Diceros bicornis minor: one gene and its partner. The protein of the gene in region 2 interacts with the protein of the main gene of each other region in a pairwise test. Links are inferred from orthologs where the notes say so. Each region holds a gene or a part of one and is shown on either strand. Other genes may lie near its edges.

The links. The genes of interacting proteins can lie anywhere in the genome.
Region 1: the proteins of CLK2 (region 2) and YTHDC1 interact in binary tests that used the Homo sapiens proteins (3 or more experiments, as listed by UniProt). The two-hybrid records come from large-scale screens. The link is inferred for Diceros bicornis minor from reciprocal best matches to the Homo sapiens genes CLK2 and YTHDC1.

Annotation. Positions count from the first base shown.
Region 1 is NC_080747.1:54,209,170-54,216,555, forward strand, and holds the start of YTHDC1 (YTH domain-containing protein 1), read left to right. Parts: upstream 1-4,384; 5' UTR 4,385-4,725; coding exon 4,726-4,753; intron 4,754-5,004; coding exon 5,005-5,067; intron 5,068-7,386. UniProt on the Homo sapiens protein: Regulator of alternative splicing that specifically recognizes and binds N6-methyladenosine (m6A)-containing RNAs.
Region 2 is NC_080743.1:59,140,044-59,147,666, reverse strand, and holds the start of CLK2 (dual specificity protein kinase CLK2), read left to right. Parts: upstream 1-4,612; 5' UTR 4,613-4,695; intron 4,696-6,278; coding exon 6,279-6,448; intron 6,449-7,188; coding exon 7,189-7,417; intron 7,418-7,623. Other genes in the region: HCN3 (potassium/sodium hyperpolarization-activated cyclic nucleotide-gated channel 3), read right to left, coding at 1,479-1,762. UniProt on the Homo sapiens protein: Dual specificity kinase acting on both serine/threonine and tyrosine-containing substrates. Phosphorylates serine- and arginine-rich (SR) proteins of the spliceosomal complex.

The DNA of each region.
Region 1 (7,386 bases), on a different chromosome or scaffold from region 2:
TTCTTCCTTCCTTGCATTTTATTTTTGAAGATGGCTACTTGTTTGTCCTGTAGAGTCTTCTATTGTCTGGATTTTGCTAATGGTATTTGTGCAGGATTGCTTAACATATTCATCTGTGCTTTACCTGTGCCTTAGAGCATGATCTCTCAACATGAGCACTATTGACATATGGGTCGGATGGTTCTTTGTTATTAGGGAGAGTGAGCCTTTCCTCTGCCTTATAGGGTGTTTAACAGCATCCCTGGCCTCCACCCACTACATACAAGTAGCTCTCCCTCTGCTGTGGTAACCACAAATTTCTCCAAACATTGCCAAATGTCCCCTGGGGGCAGAATCACCCCTGGTTGAGAACCACTGACAAAAGTCTATGAGATCCAGGTTTAATGTTTTGGCAAGACTACTTCATAGATAGTGTTATGTACTTCCATCAGGAGGCACATGACAGCTGATTGTCGTTTTGTTATATTAATTAGGAGCCATTAAAACCATTGCCTTGATCTGTTTATTTCATTAATGGTTGTAAAATGGTGATGTCCTAGTTCTGTCATTGCTTCACCCTAGCCATATATTACCTGGAATAATTCTATGAAGAGAAACTTCCCTTCATCAACTACTTGCTTGGTAACCCTGAGATACAGTTCTAATTGCAAACACAGGATGAATGATTTCTCTTTGTTTGCTAGTTTTCAAAATAATGAACTGGTTCCCTAGCATCATCCAAAGAGGACTGATGAATTTTTTTGAACTATTATGAATTCATGGATTTAAACATACTTGATATGTTTCAAGCCAACGCAGTTTTATCTTTACAGTGCTTAAAATGTCCATATTTGGCCAGTGGGAGCCATTTTAGTTAGGAACTCTTCTGAGTCATTTTGACAGGACCTTAGCATTCATTGATCACTGCTGTCTGGTATGACAAGATGTTCTAGGTTCATATTATACATTTGCTTTCCCTATATTGATATTCTCTAAGACTCTGGACTGAGTCTCCTTTACTCTTCACTCTACATAATCTTCCCAGGGCAACAGAACTCAACTACCAATTTTTTTTTTCTTTGATGAGGAAGATAGGCCCTGACCTAACATCTGTTGCCAATTTTCCTCTTTTTGCTTGAGGAAGATTGTCCCTGAGTTAACACCTGTGCCAATCTTCCTCTATTTTGTGTATGGAACACCACCACAGAATGGCTTGATGAGCAGTATGTAGGTCTGCACCGGGGATCCAAATGCAGGAACCCTGGGCCGCTGAAGTGGAGCACGCAAACTTAACCACTAGACCATTGGGCCGGCCCTGCCAATTTTTTTTCCTGAATCCACACACTTGAGAGATATACACTCCAATCAGTAATATTGGCCAGGAGTAAGGCAATTTAGAGGCATGGTGGAGGCCAAGCCTCACTGGAAGTTGTGTGCCCTGATTAAAAGCATTAAACTTCAATAAAAGCATACACTGTACTGGTTCACGGAAAGTCTTAGGTCAGCAGGCACCAGTCTGCAACCTATGCTATATGACCTGGTCCTGGCCTGATTTAAAACTGAATATTGTGAAAAATATGTTTCACAGACTCTATTTTGTTCTCTTCCTCTGAGAGGTGCTGATCATCTTGAACTTGTGTGAGCTTGGTTTTACACTTTATGGGTGCCCATCTGTGGAAAGCCCAAGACATTTTCCATTCCCACTCTCCAGTGGGCTCAACCTGGAGATTCTCTCTGCAAAGCTTGTACTGCTTTTGTTTCAGGCTGGGTCCTGATTAGGCCCTTACTCCTAAGGTGTGTCCTGTCCCTCAAACATTATCTCAGCTACTTGCCCTCTCATTGTCTGGGGTCCAGCTCATTGGCATTCTCCTTAGATCCTTGACCACACTAAAGCCTCTTTCTCCCTCAGAACCTTTGTTACGTGCTGTTCTCTGCCTGGAAGACTCTTACCTCCACCTTTTATAGGTATCAGTCTCAACTTCACCTCTTCAGAGAGGGCTTTACCGGTTTTTCTACATAAAAAGTCCTTCTGCCTCATCATATTAGCCTTTTATTTGTTTCTTTCCTAGAATTCATCACATGTAATTGTTTACTTATGCCCTGTCGCCCTAACTAGAACATAAACCTGAACTCCTTGAAGAGAGAAACCAGATCCTATACTATATATGTATATTAACTCTGGAATCTATAACAATATAGGACTGAATAGGAATTTAATAAATACTAGTTGACTGAACTAATAAATGAGTAGAACATTACATTATAATGCTTTTCTTGATTCAGTCTCTTCTTACCTAACCACTGAATATCGACTTGAATTGAACTATGGGCAGCTTTGCCACCTAGGACCTTTGCTTACGTGAAAACTATCCTTCTAACATTACCCTTGCCCTTTCTCCCTCTCACCTAGGCTAATATTTGTTTAGTTCTCAACTAGGCTTTATTTTCCCTTCTTCAGAAAGGGAACCCCCCTTGTTACCCCCCATCACTCTGAGTGACATGCCTCTAAGGATTCCAATATCCTGAGAGTATGCTACATGATGCAGTAATATCAAGTGGGTGGGGGCTAGAGCCAAATTGCCTGGATTTGAGCCATGTTTCTTACTACTACTTGTGACTTTGGGCACTTTAATTTCACATTACTTCACTTTCCATTTATGTAAAATAGAGCTAGTAATCTAATTGCATTTTTGGAAGAGGAAATCAGATCGTATACTTCAAGTGCTCAGAACAGTACCTGGCACACACAGTAAGAACACACAATTTTAACCATTATTCTTACACGACATCAATACAAACAATCCATAATAAATCTATAAAACAACTTGGGGTGAGTTTATCATATGAGCCCGTGTGAGAACCACATAGCCCTGGAAGGCGCCTTCACCAAGGAAGGAAGTACTCCAAAGAAGTGAAGTGTACAGCATGGTTATATACCATCTTGAAACAAAGAACATATATCAAATATGACAGGAATCTCTTTTACTACAGTCACAAGCTGTTTTGCTAGCACAGCAGGTCAGTGGTAACAAGATAAACACAGCAGGTCACAAGATGTACACAGTAGGTCAGTTTGACCCTTAGTTTCTGGGACAAAGTGCTTATCTCTAAAAAAAACGCTGATATGGGGGGAGGCATACATCCTTATCTTTAAATGCATCATTCTTTGCTTTGTAAATGTTTAAAGCAGATGTACAATGCATGCTTCACAGGCTATGACACGCCTTCCTGGAAAAACAAGGTCAGGCCAAACTAGTTTTAAACCAAGTGGCTTCCTTATATACTCTGTCTGTCTGTCTGTCTCTATATATACTTTTCTTATTGCTTTTCATTTATTTCTCAACATTAATTTCCTATTGTCTCTTCCCTATATTATATTGAACATTCTTTAAAGACAGAAATACTATTCTATTCACCCTTGATTCCTAAGCATCTAACACATAGCTGGGTGTTATGTTTACTTGTTTTTCCTTCTCTTTTTTCCCTGCAAGCCTCCAACAGCTCCAAACAAATCTCTTTTAGTGTTTTTCCACTGCTTAAAATCTTCCCACTGCCTTTAGTTTGGTCTCAATTTGTTATAAAGGCCATCAAGGACCAAGAAACTCTAGATTATTTTTCTTTCTCTGAACATGCCATTGGTTTGTTTTTACATAACAATGTTACTTTTTTTTCAAATTTTCTTTCCCTTGTAAACTCAGTCATGGAGTAGTGAAGCAAAATTACATCTTTATTCTTTTGGATAATAAACTTTATGTACCTTTCACCATATTATTAGTTAAGTAGTTTTTGGTCACTTCTGTACTTTCAATTTCTCAATAGTCTCTTTAATCAACTGAGTACCCCAGGGCCTCAATAAATGTTTAAATCAAATTTGCTATTATGTGAATTACAAAGTTATATTAAAATACAATATAATTCCTTTCCCCAATTAAAAACAAAACTAGTATGCTTTTGTGACAAGTGAGCTAGTTGCATCCTGTGCTGCCTTTGAAGCCCGGGACACCAACTGTGAAAGTACAACTGCCATCCCTGCCGACTGCAAAGGCAAAGGCCCATACTTGTCCTAAATAAATCTCCGATTTCCAGAAGGGAATCAGGAGTAGCGCGGAGCGACACGAAGCATCTTCGCTCTTAGGCTGAAAAGTACGCGAATACCCGGTTCAGTCGAGAAAACTGCGCCACCTAGGCGTACACAGCACAGCAGCGGCTCGATTTAAATAACTCCGGCCGCTTAATCACTGGCAATGAGACTCTTTCCACGGACATCCGGGCTGCGGGGGGCGGGGCGACGTGCTGACGTTACGTCACGTTCCCTTGCTCGCCCTGCTTCCCCGCCTCTCTCCGCACTGTGACGTTCCCAGGGAGGAACGAAGCGTAAACAGCGCAGGGCATTTCGGGAGCGGGATTGTTTCGCGCAGGAAGCAGGCTCCATTTTAGCGCCGCCCGCTGTCGCCATCTGTTTCCCTTCCCTCCGCCTACCCGCTCCGGTCCCCTAGCCCCAACGGGAAGGCTTGGCCTAGGCCGCGGGAGATTGGAGCGAAAGGAGGGAAGGGGAAAAGGGAGAAGGGAAAGAAGCGGGGAGAAAAAGGGTGAGTCGAGAAGGGTGAGTGGTAGAGGCCCAGGAGCGAAGCGCGCAGCCCGGCGGACGGACTGACGGACGCCTCCGAGCTACTGCTGCCGCGGCTGCGGCGCCGGCGCGATTCGCGTCGAAGCGGCAGCGGCAGCAGCGGAAACAGGAGGGGAGCAATGGCGGCCGACAGCCGGGAGGAGAAAGGTTAGTGCGGAGGAAGGTGACGGGCGGAGGCGGGGCTCGGGAGTGGGTCGACGGAGCCGTGGTCGTCGTTGCCGCGTGGGGGTTGGGGGGGTTAGCCTGCTCCGCGCGGAGCGGGTCCCCCCGACCGAGACGCTTGCACTCATTGGAAAAGATCAGGCCTGCCCTTACGTCCTCGATCTCCCTATGACCTAACACTTATCTGGCCTATGGTTTTTCTTTGATCCTAATTCCCCTCTTCTTTTTCCGTTTAGCTGTTCTGGGCGCGGCTGGGACAAGGCCTGTTCTGAGTTGCAGGCCCTTAGGTTTATTTGCTGGTAAGATTATGCGGATGTAATGCATATCTTCAGAACAACCTTTTCTGGTAGGCGAAATTTCGAAAACCCTGAATGTCACGATCAGAGCTGGTAGTATAGTAAGTGAGCATATTTAAGAAGTGCTATAGGTGGATTATTAATCTCGAGAAATATCTATTAGTAACTTGTGGCTGTTCCTGTAAAATAGGTAAAGTGGCATGAATTGCCCGTTTGGCTCCTCAAACACTTATTTTAGAAAACAAGATGTTTGGAAGGGTAATTATATGATTTAGGCCTGGCAAAAAAAATCCTGGCCGCTATTCTGATAGAAACACATTGTGCTTAACTCCCGGAGAGTACAACCAGGAGCAAATGGATGTAATTTATAGAGAGTTGGAGGGATAGAATTACAGTGGAATATAGAAAGAACTGATGTTGCCAGAAAGGAGTGTCATGTTTTGTGAAATACCGATCTCCCAGGCTCTGGAGATGGAGATCCTGGATCAGTACCTGTCTAGAGGGTGGTCTGTATTAGATGGTGCCTTAAGGTCTTTTCCAACCCTAAGATTACCGAAAGATTATAGTTAAAAAAAATATGGCACAGCTGCTGCTCTTTATTTCACAGATCTACTCTTCTGTGTGGCTAGTAAATTTGGGGTGGGAATTTATTAAATGAGCTCTAGAATCAAGTTGCATTAGGCCTGTGATCTTTTCTCCTTAAAAGAAAGAAGTCTTCATGCTTCAATAAACTGCTGTAGGATAGGGACAAGCTTGGGAAGTGGAGTGGGTGGGAATATGTTTAAGATATTGCTCCTATCTTAAAGCAGTTCAATGATTAGGTTATGGTAGCTTAATTTTACTTCCTTAGACGAATCCTAGAAACCCCTTCTGCCCTTTTTTTGAGAAGTCTGAAAGGAATGTGAACATAGGATTGCATGGTGTTAGTGAATAAAAGAAACTGCTTTTAATTAGTAGTAAAGTTAGTTATTAAAATAGATGATTTTAATCAATAAGAATTCAGTCAATGCTTGATTCTGTCACTGTTATTTATGAGCTGTGTGTATGGGAATGGGTGGCAGTTATGGTGGGTGAGATGAACCAAATATAAAATGAGTAAAACTCAGCACTCCTCAAGAATTCGTTGTCTGTTAAGATGAACATAGTAATTTTAAGTCAGTAATAGACTAGACTCCATAATGTACATTGAGGAAGAAAAGTAGGTGGTGGTGTAGAAATTTTGTCAAAGAAGTGGATATAGTGATGAAAATGTAATCCAAATACTTAAACTTTATTATTGGGAAGTAGTAACGCTACCTATTAGCAGTACTTAGGATAAATTGTCCGGCTTTTGAAAGGCCTTGATTTGTGTAGTTTTTGAAAAACTTAATTTCCATAATTGAACTTCTCTATTTTAGAACTTCTGATATAAGTGCTTATCTTTATAGTTTAGATCGAAGATTGTCTCTTAGTTTACTGCGAAAGCTAGCAAATACAAACTTACTGGAATTGCTTGTTTAATTTTTGAGTAGCAGGATTTCTAGAATAATCCACTTTGCAAATAAGGAAACTGAGTCACACAGCTAGAATGATAGCCAGAATTAAAATCAGTACTTGACTCTTCCTTCTCATACTTGAACAAGGAAAAGTGGGAAACTAAGTACTTAGTGTCATCAGTTATCTTGTATGAAACATTAGGAAATGGCAAAGATAAACCTTGTAAGAATCTTAGACATGTCACAAACTTGAGGTCCGTTTTTAAATGATTACATAAATAATGTAAGATCTTGATCAGAAATGAGTTTAAATGGCAAGAATTTGCTATTAATCACAGAACAGTTAAAAGACTTGGTCATTGAGTCCTTGGATTATTGGGTTTTGTGCGTTAGCTGTGTAATAAACAGGCATTAACTTCTATAATGCTTCTGTAATACTAATACCTGGAAGCTGAAGCCTGTTATAACTGGACAGATTGCCAGCTTCCTTTGATTCCTGTGTTGATTATTTGTCCAAAAAGTGGATTTGAAAGACATTAGAATGTTGATGGTGTTAACTAATGTTAAATGCCATTTTTCTATATGCAGAAATACACATCTTTTTTATTATAAACACTTTGTATAAATTTTATTTCTTAAGCTCTTATAAAGTTCTCTTCAAAAAAGTTAATCAAAGTTTAATATATCCAAAATGTGGATAATAAGTTACCACTTTCAAAAGTAACATGTTTTCTACATTACTAGACTGGAAGCTTCATGAGGGTCAGGAGTATGTCTGTCTTGTTCATCAGGTTTCTTGTGTACAGTTATTGTGTCTCAGTTCCTTGAATAAATGATTACAAGGTTG
Region 2 (7,623 bases):
TGGTGGAAGCTGTGGAAAGAAGAGGTCAGGAGGGAGCTAGGTGAAGCCTTCATTCAGAGAAAGTCACTGGATAATCTGAGGGGCTCCATTAGCTATGATGGTTTTAATTCCAGGACACACCTAATCGCAGCATCACCCCAGGACCCAGCTGGGTTGGGACCCCAGGATCCAACCCCTTCTGACTCTGACTACAAAATTAATCCTTTCAGCCCCTGAAAGAAGTTTGGTGTTCCGCAAGTCGAGGCCTCCAGGAAGCCCCTCAGACAGTGTGCTTTCAATCAACAACAAATCCTCGACCCCCTCTTCCTCTCACTCCTGGGCCACTGGAGAAATCCTGTACTGTGAGCTGAGAGAAGAGAGGGTTCGCCTAGCCATAGAGCATCTTCACAGCCTGACTCACAGGCAGTCACAAGCTTGGCGGGTGATGCAGTAGAGAGGACAGAGAAAAAGCACGATAGTAAGGGGGATACACGGCTTCTGGGGATACGTATGAGGGTGAAATGGGGGAGGGGAGGGAGATCCACAGGAGACTAGAAAAGGTGCACTGGTGGGATAGGAATGAGGCAATAAAGAAGAGGAGAGTGGAATGAACAATGAGGGAAACAGGAACATTTAGGGAGTGTGTATGTCTGTGGATTCAAGATGATGTCTAGGTCTCCAATTGTGTTTCCAGGCTCCTGATTCACATCTCATCCTTTCTCCTCATTTCGCTCCCCAGGTTGGTGCTTTGCACACATCCTTGCCTCGTCCAAAAGCTGTCCTTCATTTGCCTCAAGGACAGGGCTGCTCTCCTCCCCTAGCGACCTTGATGTAGACGTACAGCCTGATGGGGACTGTGAAACGGCCCTACCCCCACCCTCGGTCCCTTCTCTCTGGTAGTCACCTGGGCGGTGGCCGTGCCCCTGCGTTGCTGCCTCAATCGCTGAGTCCTGGCCCGGCCCCACTGCATCCTGACTTCAGCACCGGGGACAGCGACCAGAACTGCTGTCAGGACGCGACCCTCGCCCCCATTTCCCTCCCAGTGTCCCTATTTTTCCTGGCAGCCTGCCCTGCTTAACTGGGCAGGTGCTGGAGGTGGGAGTAGGGGAGTGGGAGATAGCAGAGCTCGGTTTCTCTCTCAGGCTGACTCCAAGCCTTGGAATATGACATAATTTCCCAGATCCCCCGCAAGCAGGACTGGAGGAGGCAGGGGTTTCTAATTCCAGTGGTCCCTGTGGTCCTGGGGGGTTGCCGCGTTCCCGAAACGGGAAATCCAGGTCTCTGCTTGTCCCTTCTGGCAGCCTCAGCCTGAGAAGTCACCGAAGACCTCTGGCTGGGAATCCCTCGCCCAAGAATTCTCAGGCTAGGTTGGGGGATGTGACTCTCTCGCCCCACCCGGGGACCCCTGGGCCGGAAATGAAGTGACCGTGGAGCGGGCCGTGTCGCGGCCCGTGGGGGTAGGGTCTGTGCCCCCGCCCTCCCTGCCGGGTCCCCAGTACCGGAAGTCACTGTAGGGGTGGATGATCCAGGCCCCCGCTGACTTGACCCGCTCCTGCTCGATTTCCACTGCTTTGTGGCTGCCGAACACGCGAAGGGAGAACTTGTTGACCGTGGGCTGCAGCAGCGTCCCGAGCTGCCTCCTCTTGGGCTCGGGCCCGGACCCAGACCCAGGGGTCGGACCCGAGGCCGCGGTCGCAGACGCCGGGGCAGCAGGAGGCGCCGCCTCCAGCCCAGGGGTCGCCCCGTCGCCGGCCGGGGTGGTCGGCCGCTGCTCCGCCTCCATGACGCCCGTTGGCTTACACGCTTGGCCTCCTAGACCCTACCGCGGCCATCCGGGACCCCCCGACCCCTCCCGGAGTCGGAGCCGGCGCAGCCCGGCGGGCTCGGAGCGGAGGCGTAGTCGGCTGGGAACTGCCGGCGCGCGGGGCGGAGGGGGTGTGTGCGACAGACACTCTGGCGGACAGCGGGCGGCTTGCGCTGCGCCCCCTGGCGAGGGCCGCGGGAAGGCTGGGCAGGGCGCGCGGGGGCGCGGCCGTCCGAAAGCCATCCAGGGAGGGGCCGGGGCCAATAAAGCCTGCATCCTGGAGGGACTCTGAGGTGGGCGTGGCTCAGCAAAAGGAGGCCGTTTTCCCAGCGTAGGAGGAGAAGGTAGGGAAACTCAGAGCCATGGAGAGGGGCGTGGCCTAGAGTTGATGGGCTTTTATCCACTGAGTGTTGGGGAGGTGGAGCCGCCTGCGAGTGGCGGAAAAACCGGACGCTGGTTGTAGCTCGTGAGACTCGGGAAGGCGAGGGATTGGGGACCAATGGAAGAGGTAGGGAATGGCTTTTGAGATTCTTCCCCACTCTCGCTCATGGACTTTCTGCATTCCACTTTCTCTCAGCACTCTCACTCTCCTAGGCATAGTCCTTCCTTCTGATCTCCTCCACACTGCTCCTCCTAGTATTTCCTTTCCGAATTCATTGTGCTAACCTTCACCAAACGTGACTGCCTGTCACCGAGTAGACGCTGAGGATACAAAGATGAATACAAAAGTCCTAGCCATAAAGCCACTGCTCGTCTGTGCCTGCAAACCGACAGAACAGGTAAACTATAGTGCTATGTGGTAAGTGCTGTAAGTTCCTAAACATCTCAAATTCTTCCCCTCATCGCCATTTCTTATTGCCACTGCCTTATTTCAAGCCCTCAGCATTTTTTCACCTAGATTATTTCAGAAGCCTCTAAAAGCGTCTCTAAACTCTCCCAGCCCAATTCTTTTTGCACAGTCTGCCAGAGTTACCTTCCTAAAATCCGAATGTAGCTATATCACTTGCTTAATGTCCTTTAAACTTCCCCGTCTTCTATGGGATTACATTTAAGCCCCTTAGAATGACATACAAGGCCCTGCAAAATTTGGACCTACTTTCTGACAGTCTCTCTCTTGAAAGCCAGGACTCCAATCATGCTGAAATGCTTTGCTCTGCCTTGTCTCCAGACCTTTGCAAATATTTTCTCTGCCTGGTATTCTTCTCCTCCAATTCACTTTCCAACAGTTGGTTCAGATGTCATCTCCTCTAGGAAACCTAGAAACACATTTCCAACTCTCCTTTCCCCAGGTAGGATCTAGTCTAGAGCTTTCTTTTTTTTTTTTTTTTGGTGAGGAAGATCAGCCCTGAGCTAACATCTGTGCTTATCCTCCTCTTTTTGCTGAGGAAGACCGGCTCTGAGCTAACATCTACTGCCAATCCTCCTCCTTTTTTTCCCCCCAAAGCCCCAGTAGATAGTTGTATGTCATAGTTGCACATCCTTCCAGTTGCTGTATGTGGGACGTGGCCTGAGCATGGGCGGAGAAGCGGTGCGTCAGTGCCTGCCTGGGATCCGAACCCCAGGACGCCAGTAGTGGAGGGCACACACTTAACCGCTAAGCCACGGGGCCGGCCCAATAGAGCTTTCTTACAGTGGCCAGGGCACCACTGTTCATGACAGCTGTTGTCACAGGCTGCCACTATTTGTTTACAGCTCTTTCTCTCCCATTACACTGTGAAGCGCTGAAGAACAGGAGCTGTGCACTTGTTGAATGAATCAATGATCTGGGAAGGTGTTCATGGAGAAGGAAGTGAACTCCCCACTCTTTCCTCTCAACTCCTTCATTACCCTTCCTCTTCTATTTCAGGGAACTTTTCCTAAACCATTTCTGGCCAACTGGTCTAATCTCCATCTGACTATCCTCCATCCCAGCTCCCTTCTGATATTCCCCGACTTTAATATAGTTAGCCTCAGGTTATTTTTTCATTTCCCTTTCTCAATTCCTTATATAGCATCTCTAACTCGGGCCAATTTGTCTCAAGGTCTCCTTCTCTTTCCTCTTCTTTTTTTCAATTACACATCTCATATATTATGTATAAGTACATAACATACAGTTCTCAAGTGATTTCCCCTTTTTAGCACCCAAATCTCCATCCCTCCACTTCCCAAACCTTTCCTCATGGCCATGGCCCTGACTCCACATGTGCACAGCTTTTGTTCAGGACAAAAGGTGGGAGCCCCTCCTTGCTGCGGTTAGGTGGCCGATCTGTTTTAAGAACTAGATATTTACAGGCTATGCAGGACAATCAGATCTCACCGCCAAGCCTCAAAAGTTGGCGAGCGGCGACACTCCATAAATGACAACCCTTTCTTTTAAATCTCCAAACCTAAGGAACCCACAGAAGTGCATGAAAAAGGTAAAAGACAGACGAATACGGAACCACACGAGGCGGGGCGGAGCAGGCCTGTGGAGCCCGGCGACGCCCTCCCCGCCCCCATGAACCCCCGCCCCAGCACCTCCCCCGCTCACACCATCGGACGCCCGCGAGCTACGCAAGGACGCGGTGGCGTGCGCGGTTCTGGAGGCGGAGCCCAGGGGTAGCTGGGAAGCGACGCAGGGCGTGCATACGTACGTACGTGCTCGCTCACGGTGGCGGCGACGGATCGGAGAGGCCAGAGCCGGAGACCGAGCTGGGATCGGGCCCCGGGCGGGGGCGGTGCGAGCGGCGCCAAGCGGAGCCTGGGGGCGGGGACGGAGCCGGGGCGGGCGGGACTGGAGCGGAGCCCGGGAACGAGGCGGGAGGTCCCAGGGTCTCGGGTTGAGGGGGTGGAGTCGCACTTCGTCGCCGCGGGGGTGCCGGGACTCCGGCCGCAGTGCCGCCGCCATCACGGACTTCCTGTGGGACAAGCGCACGGGCCTCGCCGCCAGAACGGTGAGCGCGCAGGCTGGCGGGCCGCGGGGCCGCGCGGAAAGATGGCGGCCGCGGGGCGGGCGGGGGATAGGATTGGATTGGGAGCAAGGGACCGGGGCGAGAATTAGGAAAGGGGGAGGGCTGAGACCAGCGAAGCGGCAGAGGTGAGGAGTAGGGAGATGAGGTGGAAGATTAGCCTGCCTTAGATGTGTCCGGGAAGACCTATAGGAAACTTGGGAGGGACCAGAGTAGGAGAAGGGGTGATGGAGTAGGGATAGGAGTGCCTTCAGAGATGAGAAAGAGCAGAATATCGAAGTTGGCTGAAGGCTGGAGAGGGGGAAGACACCACCGTGTCACTTGGAGGTTATGGAAAAAGTTTGACTCTAGGAGTGAGTTCTGGGTTTTCTGAGTGAGAAGGGGAAAAGAAGATTTAGAAGTTGAGAAGGTTGTACGTGGGAGATGCTTTGGGTTGGGGAGAGGCCTGTGAGGAACCTTGGTGGCAGTATGTATATGGCGATATTTATGTGGTTATGGTTAACAAGGTTGGATTACCTGGGAGAATCTTGTACTTACATCTTCTTGTCTTCGTGCAAGCCCTGTTAGGTCATGAATCAAATGTCACCCTCCTCCTCAATTTAAGGAGGTTGGGAAGAAGTAGCTTAGAATGGGAGCCAGATGTAGAAGTCATTAAAAGCCTTTTCCACACCTTATCCTCTCACTATCCCCCACCAAGCCTCCTGTCCCTGGGCCTATTTCATTTTATTCTGCCCTCCAGTTCTCATCTTCCTGGATTGTGACGGTCATTTCTCTCTGATTCTTTCCTTGAAGGAAAAAAGGGATTTGTGCACCGTGGCATTCCAATAACTGGAAAGGGGCCAGCTTTTAGCCAAGTAGTTCTGATATTAATTAAAAACCAGTTATTCTGCGAGGCCAGATGGGAAGCTGACTGCAGCTTGGGGCCTCCTGTATTAAAACTTCTCAAGGGGGGCTTTGGCCAGAGATGTGAGAGATGATTAAGTTAGTTCAAAGGGCTAGGCTCAGATCCCTGGAACTTGCTTATATTTGGTATTCACTGCTATATGCAGAGACCTAGTAAACTGGATTCCTGCCTTCAGGACACGGATGGTATAGTTGAGATAAGATACACTTAATGGCTGATAATATGTATCATAATAGTGTATACTAAAGCTTTACTCTGTTGAGTTGTGAGGAACTCCGCATAGCACAGATGTATCTTGGATCCCAGCAGTGTCCATCAGTTACACAATCTCACTTGTAGTGAGCTGTGGCCCAGACCTGAAGGTCTTCATGGAGCTGTGTTTGAGGAAAATCAGAGTAGAGCAGTGAGCTGAGTGGGGGGTAATTAAGAGATTGGGGGCAGGGGGGAAACTTCTTAGCGTTTTCAGCCCGAGTAGTAGGTGAATATATATTCCATTAAGGAGGAATTGTAGGCACAGAGGAAGACGAAGGAAGTTGGGGGTGGTAAAAAGAAGTAGAGATAAAAGTAGAAAGCAGCTTAGCATCTCTGGAGCAGCCAGTCCTCGGAGGAGACTTGTGAAAACTCAGAACTTTTCTCTCTATTTCTGCTTTTCCTTCCCTTCCAGATGCCTCATCCCCGAAGGTACCACTCCTCAGAGCGAGGCAGCCGGGGGAGTTACCATGAACACTATCGGAGCCGAAAGCATAAGAGACGAAGAAGCCGCTCCTGGTCAAGTAGCAGTGACCGGACACGGCGGCGCCGGCGGGAAGACAGCTACCATGTCCGTTCCCGGAGGTGAGACCTCAGGAAGAGAAATTCATATTCAAGGTCACTCACTCATTCATTTGTTCAACAAGGATTTATCGGTTACGTGCTACACAGCTGGGTGAAGATGATGCTCCAGATGGATAGCAAAATAAGCCATTTGCACTGTGGTATTGAGAGTGTTACCGTAGAGGAAGTATATAGTAAGGGGCTGAGGAAGCATCCAGCAGGTTTGGTTGGAATAGGGCAGGATGTGTAGTTGAGGGAAAGCTTTCCAGGGAATGTGACATCTAAGCTTGTCTGAGGGACAAAGGGGGAGTGTCCCAGGCAAAGGGAAAGCAAGTGCAAAAGACTAGGGGCCAGAGGTAGCTAATGAGCTAATAGACAAGACGAAGTTAGATCTGCATGGTTTTCATAACTTAGGGGCATATTCAGTAGGAGGGATGGGTTAGGGATAGTTTGGAGCAAAGCTAAATGTCAGTCAGGAAAGGCTCTTTGTTGGATTGAATCACTGGAGAGGAGCAAGAGGCCCCCAGAGGGCGTTCTTTTGCAGATCTCTTTTCAGAGGTCGTGGTGACATGCAGGTCGGGGGTCCTCCTCTGTGCTTAGTTACTTCACTTCTCTGGTCCTCTCAGAGTGACTTGATAAGTGTCTGAGAGCTATTTTTCTAGCATTACTTTTTGTCCTCACTGAGGGAGGACCTTGTCACGTGGTGTGGCAAGGAATGTGGCCTGAACAGATGTACCTAATGGGTGTTTGTTGTCCAACAGCAGCTATGATGACCATTCTTCGGACCGGAGGGCATATGACCGGCGATACTGTGGCAGCTATAGGCGCAACGACTACAGCCGGGATCGAGGAGAAGCCTACTATGATGCAGACTACCGGCATTCCTACGAATATCATCGGGAGAACAGCAGTTACCGCAGCCAGCGCAGCAGCCGGAGGAAGCACAGACGGCGGAGGCGGCGCAGCCGGACATTCAGCCGCTCATCTTCGGTGAGTGCCAGCCCAGGCCCTTCCTCTCCCCACCCTTCTTCAGCCCTCTAGAACCCTGGTAAGTGAGAAGTATCCTTGTTGTCAGCTGAGCATTGGGGCATGAACACTGAGGTGGGCACTGAGTTTGTCTGCTCTCTTGGAAGCTCTCCAACTCTTGGAGAGCCCTGGAATCTGCTTTGGAGATGGATGGGCACAGACCATTTGTG